3 linked regions of the Coturnix japonica genome follow. The protein of the gene in region 1 purifies or fractionates together with the protein of each later gene. This does not show direct contact. Links are inferred from orthologs where the notes say so. Each region holds a gene or a part of one and is shown in the gene's direction. Other genes may lie near its edges.

Region 1 (4,146 bases):
CCGCTGCAGGAACGAGTGGTACTGCACACGGTAAGGGACCTGCGGCTGCTGCTGCCCCCGCTCTCAGCCTTACGGCAGCTTGAGGAGCGCCCCGGGGGTGGGCGCGTCCCCCTGGGCTCCGCAGAGCAGACACAGCCCTGACGTGCGGCTCCCCCCGCAGGGCGTGCCAGGTCCAGCACTGGCAGAAGCATCGCACTGCCTGCGACCTGCTGGCACAGGCACCGGGCACTGCGGGCACACAGTGAGCAGGGCAGGGGCTGATTGTCCTTGGAGAGATGCCCGCAGGTTCGCAGCCTCGTGGGGCTCAGCCTCCCCGTCCCCCCCACACAACACCCCCACACAACACCCCCGCTCCTGCTGCACCCCGCGGGGGCTCAGCTCCCCCTCCTGTCTCCTCTTTGAAGAAATAAACCACTTCCTCCCCTCCCTCGCACCCAGCGAGAGGTTTGTGTGTGTTGCTTTTTACCCTATGAGGCAACAGGAAGCCTGGAGAACTTGAAAATGAGCGAACAAAGTTTGGAAATGGAGATCAAAACGGCCCGGCCTGCTGTCACCGAGGCATGGGCTCACTCACATCGAGCTCCTCCAGGCATCAGGAGAAGGGCTCAGCATCACCTCCACTGTGAGAGCAGCAGGGCGGTATCAGAGGATGTGGTTAGTGTGGAGCTGAGCAAGCTGTGCTGCTCGGGTCTGTCAGCTGCTGAATGCAGAGAGAAACCATAGAATATCCTGTGCTGGAAGGGACCTGCTGGGATCACCAGCTCCAAAGCCCGGCCTCATGCTACACCACCCAAACGTTAATGTCTGTGAGCAATGTCCAAATTGAGCTGCAGCAGCTCGGGGCTGTGAGCACTTCTATAGGGGGAAACGAATGGCCTGGGTGTGATTTTAATGTTGCTTTTGTCCCTGCTTTCAGCTGAAGGGACTTAGCACTGAGGAGTCGATCCCTCGGCTGCCGTGTCGTCCCAGGGCACCCGGGAGGAGATGCCGGTGGGGTCACAGGGGCACTGGAGCTTTGGGCTCGGGGCAGGAGGACTCCCCCATCCGCAGTGCTTGAGGGCTGGAGCTCGGCTCTGCTGCCTCCTTGGCATTTCGTGGTGGGGCCGGCTCTGAGGATGGGGCCGTTCGCCGCCGTCCGGTCCCGCGGTGCTCGTTTCCGTGGGGCGGAGGTGGGAGGGGGGGGATCCCTCTGCCCCCGCCCTGAGCTCGGGGCTGAGCGCGGCCGTTCCAGGGCAGCCCCCGGCGGAGAAACTGAGGCGAGGAGCGGGGCCGCCCCGGGCTGCGGGGAACGGGGCCGGCCAGCGCCCCACACACCCTCCCCCGTCCCCGCCTCCCTCCCGCCCCGCCGGACGCAGCCAGCGGAGCCGCCGCTCCATCGGCCCTCGCCGGGGCTCTGCCTCAGTTTCCCCCGCGGGGCGGCCGCCCCCTTTCCCGGCCCCCTCCGGGCCATGGAGCTGATCGAGCTGCGGGAGCTGCAGCCGGAGCCGCGGCCGGGCCGGGGCCGCCTGGAGCGAACCAACGCGCTGCGCATCAGCCCGGCCCGTCGGCACGGCCCCGGAGCGCGGCCCGAACACAGACCGGCGGCACCGAGCACCGGGCATCGCTTCGAGCCCCGGCGCCGCGGGCTCCACACCTGGTGCGACCTCTGCGGGGATTTCGTCTGGGGAGGCGGCAGGAAGAGCCTCCAGTGCCGCCGTGAGTATCGCACCCCGCCGAGCATCCCCCGGGCGCTGCGCATCCCCCATGAGCGCCGGGTGTCCCGGTACCGAGCATCCCGGTACCGTGCAGCCCCCAGGCAGTGGCTGCCCTGGGACTGGTATCCCGGTACCGAGCATTCCCCTGGGCACTGGGCATCCCAGTACCGGGCATCTTCCCGGGCACCGAGCATCCCAGCACAGAGTACAGGGCATCCCTCCCCTGGCACCAGGCATCACGTATCCTGGTATCAGACCCCACTGCCCCGAGCATGGGGCATCCCTGTACCAGGTTAATACTACAAAGCCTGGGCAAACTATATGGAGCATCCTCTCAGGTACCAGCTGTCCCCGGGCTGAGCCTCCTGCCACCAGACATCTCCCCGGCCATCCTGGTAGCAGCCAGGCTGTGGGCGCCCGGTACCAAACAAGCACTGAGCAGCCCAGTGCTGAGCATCTCTGCCCAGGGCACCCCCGCTGGGTACCAGGCATCCAGGCACTGAGCTCCACAGTACTGAGCACTCCCACCTGGCACTGGGCACCCCAAAATGGACACTGCAGTCCCAGTATTGAACATCCAAGTAGATCATGGGCATCCTAAGTACTGAGCATCCTGGTCCTTAGAACCCGGTACCGAGCATTCCAGTACCAACCAACCCAGTACTGAGCATCCCGGTACCACCCCCCTTGTTGCGGGTATCCCGGTACCAAGCACCTGCTCAGGTACCAGGCATCCCATTGCTGGGTGCCCGCACTGTGTGACCAGGCAGGGGACGTGGGCACCTCGGTACGGCCCAGCAGCGCCGGGTGCCACGCTGGGTGCCCTGGTACAGCGTGGGCATGTGGGCAGGTGGCACGGCCGGTGCGTGGGGTCTGCTGGGGCCGTTGTGCCCATTGTGTCCTCTGCCCCAGACTGCAGCTTCACCTGCCACTACCGCTGCCGGGCCCTGGTGCGGCTGGACTGCAGCGGCCCCCCAGGCACCGGGGACGAGGACGATGGCAGCGAGCAGGAGCTGGAGAAGGACACGAATGTGGTACGGGACCGCGGGGATGGGGGGAGCGGGGCGGACGTGGAGGGAGCGGGGACAGCCCAGGCTGGGCCGTGCCAAGCCAAGGGGCGCCGAGCCGTGCCACGAGAGGCCGTGCTATGCCAGGCTACGGCACGCTGCGCCATGCCGTGCCATGCGGTGCTGTGCCATGTGGTGCTGTGCCATGCCGTGCCGTGCCAAGCTCTGCCGTGTCGTGCCCGCAGCAGCCCTGGGACCGCAGGGTGCGTGGCCCGGGTGAAATCACCGCCGGAAACGGGGCCGCACCGCCCCCGGCCCGCGTCAGGCCAACGGCCGCGGTGGGGCGGAGCCGGGCTGAGCCGGGCCGGGCAGCGGGAGAGCGGGAGAGACGGAGCCGGGTGGGACTGAGCGAGGAACCGGGCCGAAACGGGACCGAAACCGGGACCGGAGCCGAGACTGAAACCGGGACCGGGAAGCGGGACTGAATCGAGCCGGGACCCGAGCCGAGGAGCGGCGCTGAACCGAGCCGAGCCGAACCGGGCGAAGCGGGCCGTGCGGAGCCGGGCCGGAGCGGGCGGGCTGGCGCGGGGCCGGGCGTGCCCCTGTGCCCGGGCCGGGGCTGCCGCAGCCGTGGCCGGGGTAGAGGGCGGCGGCGGCGGGGCGGGGTCCGGCGGCTGCGGGGCGGCGGGGCTGGCGCTGCGCTGGGGCGGCGCGGGGGGCTCGGGGGGCAGCGCGGCCAGCAGCGGCTACTGCAGCCAGGAGGACTCCGACTCCGAGCCCGAGCTCTTCTACACCGCCCGCACCTCCTTCGGCCGCCGCCCGCGTCGCCGCCAGGTCGGTCCCGGGCCGGCCGTGACGTCGTGGGGCTGACGTCATGCGGGGGGCACGGGGCGTTTTTTGGGTGGGAGGAGTTCGGGGGCACTTTGCACGGGGACACGCGTGGGAGCGAGCGCGGCTTGTTACTGGGGGGAGCGGGGGGGGAAAGCGTGCTTTGCTGGGAGCGAGCTGCCCCCATCCCCACGCAGGTCCGGCAGCCCCGGCCGCTCCCGGCCCCACAGCACCGTGAGGACACGTGCGGCTGTGCGGACCTATGTAAATAGTCATTAACAGACACGGGCGGGCTGCCCCGAAGCCTCGGGCATCCCCATGGGGCACCCAGCCTACCCCGGTGCCGGGCTGGCGGCTGCCTCGGGGACACCGCTGTGATCTGGAGCGCTGGGAGGGGACACCCCGGGCTGTCCCGGCTGGGAGGAACGTGGGTTGGCATCGCCATCCGTCACCCCACCTTCACGGCCATGGGGTGGCCATCCCGGCGTTGGGGACAGGCACGAGGCCGTGGTGCGATGCGACCCTGTGCTCAGCACGGCATCCACCCCGCAGGATGAGCCCAGCAGCTGGGAGACGGCGGAGCTGGACCCGGCGCAGGTGGAGCAGCGCATCAAGGA
Region 2 (3,972 bases), on another chromosome or scaffold:
GACTGGAGAATGATGGAGGAGAAACACAGTAGACAAAAAACCCAAATCTCATTGGAATGCTTGTGCGAATGAGTTCTCAGAAGTGCCTTTTGTCATTTCTATGCTGTACCGCTTTTGTTGCTGCAGGACAATTCAGGACAAACCCTTCCCAGGTGGGGGGAATGGTCACGGTGCTCCAACCAGTGTTGTGTTGCTTGTTGTGTCAGCTCAAGGGATAAGCAGCTCATCCCACAGTGTCAAGGCTACTGAAAATAAGCATAGAAACATGCAAACGTGCAAAGCATTTTGTGGTCTTTTGTGCATGAATGTGTCTCCTATGCACTACAGGCATTTTTCAGATACCAAAGTATTTAGCGATGTGGTAAGTCACTGAATTTCTGGGCCTCCTTGGTACAGCAGGGCTCGCCTGTTTGGCTATCAGTAACTGCACGGCCAGAAGGTGTTTTCAATGCTTTCAACTCTCATTTTATGAATCACTGTGAGAATAAAGGCATGTGGGTATCCAGGGCTGGAGTCTGGGGAGCAGGAGGGGGCAGAGGAATCGCACTCGTGTTAAATGGACGTGAGCTGAATTCACACCATTGAAGTACTACATGTCAATTTAGGATGGTATAAAAGCATGCTTTGCTACCTATATTCCCATTGCTACTTTGGGTACAAAGCAAATTGAATTAGTTCAGTTCTGGCTGGAAAAGGAAGGGTTGTAACATACTTTTAGCCAATGAATAGGCGAGGTGGAGCTGGGGACAGCCCAGCTCTGTCCATTACAACACAAACAGCATCACCAGCCCTCAGGTGTTCCATGCCTTCCTGCTGTGTGTGATGCTGGCACTGCTGACCTGTCTAATGCATAAATGGAAACAGTTGGTCTTTGGGTACGCTTGTTTTTGCTGCGCGTCGTCATGTGCTGACCTTACACCACCACGTGAAGGGGAAGGAGGGACCAAGCTGTGTGTTATTTATCATGAATGTAAAGAAATGAAATAAATCACTGTCAGATCCCTGCTTGTGGCTGGTTGTTTCCCATCCTTTATGGCAGGGCTGGGTGATGAATCTCGAACCAAGCAGAGTGCTGTACCGCCACACTCCTTCCGCTAGAGGGCGCTGTGACCGCGCCACCGCGACGCTCTGTCCCCGTCGTTCCTCCCGTCTCGTCTCCTCCCCAGGCGGGGCCGCCGCCCCACAACGCCCCGCGCCTAACGGCCCCGCCGCCCGCCCCACACACGGCCCCGCTGTGAGCCCGAGGGCGGCCCGGCCCTGCCCGAGCGGAGCCGGGTATGCGGGCGTTGGGAGCGGGCCGGGAGGAGGAGGTGGGATGTTGTCGAGGAAGAAAACGCGGGCGGAGCTGTCGAAGCCCGGCGAGGTGCAGGGGAAGTACGTGAAGAAGGAGACCAGCCCGCTGCTCCGCAGTGAGTGCCGTGCCGTGCCGTGCCGTGCCGTGCCGTGCCGTGCCGTGCCGTGGGCTCCACACGGCCGCGTTGTTCCCCCTCAGCCCGGCGCTCAGCTGCGCCCTCGCCCGGCCCGGCCCGCACCGAGCTCAGGGCTGGGGCTGGGCGGGGGGAGACACCGCGCTGCGGCCTGGGGGGGCTCTGTAATAAACGGGGGGGGTTGGGGCTCCGTGAGCCTTGAGCTCCCTCCCAAGCCGGGCCGCGCTTTGATTGTGTGATTGAGCTGGTGAGGTGTTGATAGGGCGGGATTCACGGGGCTTGGGCTGGATCTTGGTGTAACGGAGAGGTTTAGAGCCTGACTGATAAGGGGTGGGAGCTGTTTGTGTTGGCTTCTTTGGCTGTTAAACTGCGCTTCTTTGGCAATAGCTTCTGTTGCACATGGAGGGTGTGATGGCTTTTGTTGCTGCAGCCCTACTGTTACGCTGCTACACTGAGAGGTGCTTTAAGGGGGCTCTGGCATCAGAATGGAGTTACTTCCATGCTGTAAGTCAGACACTTTGGCTCGCCAAATACCATAAGTGCGTACAAAGCTCTCATTTCCTTTCTCTGCTGTACCAGATCTGATGCCTTCCTTTATCCGTCACGGTCCGACCATTCCAAGACGAACTGACATCTGCCCTCCCGACCCGAGTCCTTCTGCTTATGGCTCTGCTGGAGATGGAGCTGTTTCCAGAAACCAGAGTTTCCTTCGGACGCCGGTGCAGAGGGCGCCCCATGAAATAATGAGGCGTGAAAGCAACAGACTGTCTGCACCTTCCTACTTTGCTCGAAGTTTAGCTGACGTCGCTAGAGAATACGGCTCTTCCTCACAGTCCTTTCTGACAGAAACCAACTCGGTTATGGAAAATGGAGATGCCGGCACACGTTGTTACTATTATGATCACTTCTATGATGCCCAGAGGAGACGGCAATTGAATGATCGCTTGCATGAGGACTGCAGGTATTATGAGCACGGTGGGGAGCTTTTCCAGAGGATGGCTCACAACCATGGGAGGCGCATGTCAGGTGAGGATGGGTTCATTGTGCCCTTCACATATCACTGAACAGCTTTAGGTACATAGGATCCCAGAATGGCCTGGGTTGCAAAGGCCCACAGTGCTCATCCAGCTCCAACCCCTGCTGTGTGCAGCGTCACCAACCAGCAGCCCAGGCTGCCCAGAGCCACATCCAGCCTGGCCTTGAATGCCTGCAGGGATGGGGCATCCACAGCCTCCTTGGGCAACCTGTTCCAGTGCGTCACCACCCTCTGGGGGAAAAACTTCCTCCTAAGATCCAACCTGAACCTCCCCTGTCTCAGTTTCAAACCATTCCCCCTTGTCCTGTCACTGCCCACCCTCACAGTTGTTCCCCCTCCTGTTTATACACTCCCTTCAAGTATTGGATGCCCACTATGAGGTCTCCTTTCAGTCTTCTCTTCTCCAAGCTAAACAAGCCCAGAATATCATTGTGTCATTTGATTTTTGTTAATTTTATAATGAATTATTTATTGTGAAACAATGAGTAATGACTGTTTTGTGTAATCAGCAAATTGATGTGTAGTTAGTGCTAAAATTCACTTCCTAGTGTCTGAATTCTTTTTGGCTTATAATATTGTAATATTGTGAAGACAGGCTACAGGAGCTGGGTTTGTTCAGCATGGAGAAGAGAAGGCTGCGGGGTGACCTCAGTGCAGCCTGCCAGGACCTAAAGGGAGCCTACAGACAGGAGGGGAGACAACTCTTTACAAGGGCAGATAACAGCAGGACAAGGGGAAATGGTTTGGAGTTGAAGGAGGGAAGATTTAGATTGGATGTCAGGGGGAAGTTCTTTACTGTGAGAGCGGTGAGGTGCTGGAACAGCTGCCCAGAGAGGCTGTGGATGCCCCGTCCATCCCTGGAGCTGTTCAAGGCCAGGTTGGATGGGGCCCTGGGCAGCCTGGGCTGGTATCAATGTGGAGGTTGGTGACTCTGCCTGTGGTGGGGGGTTGGAGCTTCATGATCCTTGTGGTCCCTTCCAACCCAGGTCATTCCATGTCATTGAGGAAGAGTCATGATCACACACTTTCAGGGACCTGCTGCATTTTTCTTATGGAACAAGAGAATCAGAAAAGAAATCCCTTCAGTATTTGTTTTTGAAGTATTTGGTTATCTGTGATGACACAGAAGAGTCTTTTGTATGTCATGCTGCTGTCAATGTACTGAAAGAAGAAATGTGAGATGTCAGTGTTACCCATAGAACTGTGACCTTGCAGGCGGTGTTTGAGTGGTGTTTCTACTGCTGAAATGATGCTCAGGGAGGAGTTTGAGAGCAGCACTCCAGACCTTTAAATAATGCAGTGAAATATGCTGTTAGTTCATTGTTATTTGCAATCTGCTGGTAAAATTGTCAGCACTGAACTTGTGGGTGGAGCTAAAAAGCTGACAATGCTTTGCTGGTGGTGTTTGGTTTTTAATACAGAGATGTTCCATTGAAGCATGGCAGGAGAGCAGTGCTGGCATCGCTGCTGCCAGGCAGTGCAGATTGAGATGCTGATGTTTAAGACTTG
Region 3 (3,928 bases), on another chromosome or scaffold:
GCTATGGACCAGCACCTGGAGCAACAGAGTTTCAGTCCAAGATGTGGGCAGAGACGTTCTGGGATTGTCAATTAAATGACAAGTGCATGTCGATTAGAATGACTGCACTGTGCCCCAAACCAAAGTGCTTACTCTAAGAAAGCAGACCTGGGGTATCACTTCCTCCAGGCAAGGACTGTGTAACCAGGGCACACCAGGCCACTAGAGCAATGAGTGCTGCAAGGACCTGCATGTTGACATCTCCTCAGCCAGCAATCAGAACTTGTCTTGTAAACCAGGCTATCAACATTTATATCTTCTCCCAGGTCCTGCATCACTTCAGCCACACAAATGATGCTTAGTGTAAACTACTGCCTGGCTTCTGTGAAGTGAGAACATCTCCAGGAGGCTGGTTTATCCCAGAGTACTCCATCCAGTTTTAGGGGAGGATAAAACACTGCTAGGTGGTAACTGAATTTACCTTTTAAGGGGGTTTTGATGAACATGGGAGAGCAGACATCTGGCTCTGGCATGGTTTTACTCAGGAACCCGCCCTTTGCTTTTGTGATGGAAGGTGTTTTCCAGCTCCACTGGAGCTGCTGGTAAAAAGGAGCCACCTGAAGCCCTTTGAAATTCCAAGGCCTTAGCATTACGGTTTCTCAATGCTTGTCCACTGCTGGAAGCACCCTATCCATAACCCTTGGGGTGAGTCACAAATCCATGCACACTGAAGGCATGCAGGAGCCCTACGTTTGAAGCATCAAGCAAACTGTAAGAATACCACTGCGATTGCTAGCCGTAAGGGTTATCGAGCTGCGCTGCAGCACCGCAGGGCGATGCAGAAGGCCGGGTCCCGGAGCCGCATCCCGCCCGGTTGGGCGCAGCCGGAGCTCCGCAGGGGCCTCGGCCACCGAGGGCTGCGGGATGCGAGACCGCGGGGCGTTGGGGTCCGCCGGCGACCCTCGGGCGTTGTTCGCACCCCGCGTCCTTCCTGCTTCCGGGGGCCGCCGCGGGGAGGATTTGCTGCAGATGACATCAGCCGTGGATGCTGGAAAAGCGGCGGCGGGGATGCGCCGGCTCCCCCCCTTCCTCCTCCTCCTCCTCGGCAGGTCCCTGCCCTGCCCCGTCTCCGTATAAAAGCGCGGCCGCCTCCCCGCCCGCCCTCACTCCCTGCCGCCTGCGGAGCCGCCGCCGAGCGGCCCTTCTTTCTCCCCTCAGCGCCCCGGAGCCGCGGGGCGGAGCGGGGGGTGCGATGGCCACCGTGGTAGTGGAAGCGGACTCGGAGCCCTCCTGCAGCCTCCCGAACCCTGCCGCTCCCTCGCCCAGCCTGTCGCATCGCTTCCTGGACAGCAAGTTCTACCTGCTGGTGGTCATCGGCGAGCTGGTGACAGAGGAGCACCTGCGCCGCGCCATCACCAACATTGAACGAGGTGAGATGGTGGCGGCGGCGGATCGCGCGGAGCGCACGGTGCGCGGCTCCCCCTGCGACCCGCACGGCCCCGGCAGCCGCTCGGCGGCCGCTCCCCGCCCGCTGCCCAAGGCGCCCCGACGGGGGGCTCCGTGCTGCTGCAGCCGCGCCCGCTGCACCCCCTGCGGGGCGGGGGAGCGCCGAGCCCAGCTCCGAGCCCCGGCGCTTCTCTTTCTTTAACTGCGGGTCCCGCCCGGCCCCGCCCGCACCCCGGGGCCCCCCGCGTGGTCCCCGCGCCCGCAGCCCCTGCCCCGCGCTCCCGCCCCGCGCCATTGTCGGGGCTGCGGCGGACGCCCAGCCCGTCTGCCCGGAGACACCGGCGGGTGGGCGTGGCACAGACCGCACTGCGGTCCCTATGGCAGCCCGGAGCGGACAAAGGGCGCCTGCTCCAGCGCCGCCGGGAAAGGGGCTGGGTGGGGGCTGCAGCCCATCCCCATCCCCGTCACCATCCCCATCCCTGTCCCCATCGCCGTCTCCGTCGCAGCGCCGCAGACCCCGGCGGCAGTGGGGCGTTTTCCCAGCGACCGCAGGGCTGCGGCTCCATCCCTGCGCATTGTGCCCAAGTTTCGGCAGCGCGATGCAGAATCCTTCGGGACCCAAGCATGGCACACACCCACCCCTGTGTTGAAAGAAATAAAAAAGATGCTGGTAACGAGGCTGCAGTCTGAGTGCCCAGCCCCGTTATTGTCCATCCCGGGCTGCGGCGGCTCGCTGCTCGTTTGCCCTTTCCTTAAGGTGGCTTTGGGTGAAGGTACCACATGTGAAATGTCCGAGTTCTGTAAGTTCTTGATGCGGTTTCTAATAAAGGAGATTGCGGTGTGCATAGAGAGGTGAAAAGCCCTGTTGCTGTAAGTGTGGTATGAAGCACAAAGGAAATTATTGGGGGACCTCATAGTTTGCTAAACTAGCCTAAGATGTGATTTTTGGTTTTTTTTTAGTGTATACCTTGTTCTGGGCTGATGAAAGTGCAAAAATCAGAAATACGCTATTGTGTGAAAGGAGAGAGGGAGCCTGCAAGGGATTTGATACCAGCCTTGAATGTAGGTGTGGTTCAGCACTCCAGCTAGGACTTCGCTTGTCTCTATTGTTGTGTTCTCAACCCTTTCTGCTGCAGTTGGCGATTTCTCATGGTTCTTTTTCTTGGCTGTTCACAGCAAAGATCTGCCTCATTCCGGCTTACCAGCTTCACCGTGACCCGTTGATCTTTATCTCAACCATTGTCTCCTAGGGAGGACTACTGATGCAGATGCTTTGTCATTCAGAGCCTCTTCAGCATTGCGCCTCTCTCCCTCTCTCGTTTTAACTAATTGTTGATTGTGTTGAAGTGAATTGGCTGAATTTCAATTAAATTGATGCAATTTATAGAGCAAATGGAAAAAAACTTCTGTAAAGGCATCTGATGTCATCCTTCCTCAGAAGAAATGTTCTTCAGTCGCTTCTTGAAGCTTCTATTGTGAAGCTGCTGCTGCATAGCTCTGTTGCTGCTACCTCCAGCCAACAAGCTTAACACCTGCTTACAGTTTTAGATATTCAAGGGAAATACCTTAGTGTTTTTATTCATCATTTTGGTTGAAAAGTCACCTCATTCTTCCTGATGTCAGGTGATTTGACAGGGATCTTGCCTGCTAGGAAAAAAATCAGATTTTGGGGTGCATTGTTCTGGATCAGTACACTCTGAGTCTGTAGCTCTGTCTATTTGAGGGCTTGACTAATCTTTCCCTTTGGAAAGTGCAGTAGGGAAAAACTGGCTTCTTTCAGCCTTTGTCCTCAGTAGAGCCTTAAGTGGTTTTAGGGTTCTTGATAACTCTGCCTCAAGGTCTTCTCTGGTGCATCTCCTAAGTACCACCAGAGAAAAGTGTGGATTCACGCACTGAACTGCAGAGCAATATGCCAGCAAAAAACATCTCCTGATAGGACATCAGTGGCGTGATGCTACGTAACCTGGTGGAATGCAGAGTCATTTCTTAATATATCATGAAGTGGGAATTGCTTGGCAAGCTGCATTTTCAGTAATTACATTTGGGATGTCATTCTGCTGAGGGGGCAGTCCTCCAGCCCACCATCCAGTAGAGAAGAAGAGGGGAGTAAGGAGAAAGCTTCAGGATCTTTCCACCGATTTGGCAGATGCTGCTGGGTGTGCCCTGTCTGCTGTCTGATTAGCCCTGTGTCTAGTGGCGCTATGCTCCAGAGACTGCAGAAGGAAGGAAATAGCTACAGCTCAGTCATCCTCACAGTAGTTTCTTCCATCCTGATAATAATACACATCATTGGATTGACCTTGGATTTTTGTTCCAGATTTACTTCCATTGCATCCAAACTTGATTTGGTTGTATAATTTACTTGATACATTTATACTACATTTTAAGGTGTTTGTATAGGTTTTGCATCCAAAATGCTGAATCATGCATCTGCAAATCTGGCCTATTTTACCAAATCTCATCCTCAGCTGCTGTGTGGATAGCATGCCTAGGCTATTCTTTG

The links.
Region 2: the proteins of RASSF1 (region 1) and SAV1 purify together in Homo sapiens (affinity purification with western blotting; 3 studies listed by BioGRID, with this or other methods). This does not show direct contact. The link is inferred for Coturnix japonica from reciprocal best matches to the Homo sapiens genes RASSF1 and SAV1.
Region 3: the proteins of RASSF1 (region 1) and MAP1B purify together in Homo sapiens (affinity purification with mass spectrometry; 3 studies listed by BioGRID and IntAct, counting the BioPlex papers as one, with this or other methods). This does not show direct contact. The link is inferred for Coturnix japonica from reciprocal best matches to the Homo sapiens genes RASSF1 and MAP1B.

What each region holds. Positions count from the first base shown.
Region 1 is NC_029527.1:644,760-648,905, reverse strand, and holds the start of RASSF1 (ras association domain-containing protein 1), read left to right. Parts: upstream 1-1,346; 5' UTR 1,347-1,448; coding exon 1,449-1,695; intron 1,696-2,606; coding exon 2,607-2,728; intron 2,729-3,427; exon of another isoform or gene 3,428-3,535; intron 3,536-4,081; coding exon 4,082-4,146. Other genes in the region: ZMYND10 (zinc finger MYND domain-containing protein 10), read left to right, coding at 1-30, 161-245. UniProt on the Homo sapiens protein: Potential tumor suppressor. Required for death receptor-dependent apoptosis. Mediates activation of STK3/MST2 and STK4/MST1 during Fas-induced apoptosis by preventing their dephosphorylation.
Region 2 is NC_029520.1:52,524,952-52,528,923, reverse strand, and holds the start of SAV1 (protein salvador homolog 1), read left to right. Parts: upstream 1-1,172; 5' UTR 1,173-1,315; coding exon 1,316-1,409; intron 1,410-2,006; coding exon 2,007-2,453; intron 2,454-3,972. UniProt on the Homo sapiens protein: Regulator of STK3/MST2 and STK4/MST1 in the Hippo signaling pathway which plays a pivotal role in organ size control and tumor suppression by restricting proliferation and promoting apoptosis.
Region 3 is NC_029547.1:23,153,475-23,157,402, reverse strand, and holds the start of MAP1B (microtubule-associated protein 1B), read left to right. Parts: upstream 1-1,128; 5' UTR 1,129-1,231; coding exon 1,232-1,409; intron 1,410-3,928. UniProt on the Homo sapiens protein: Facilitates tyrosination of alpha-tubulin in neuronal microtubules. Phosphorylated MAP1B is required for proper microtubule dynamics and plays a role in the cytoskeletal changes that accompany neuronal differentiation and neurite extension.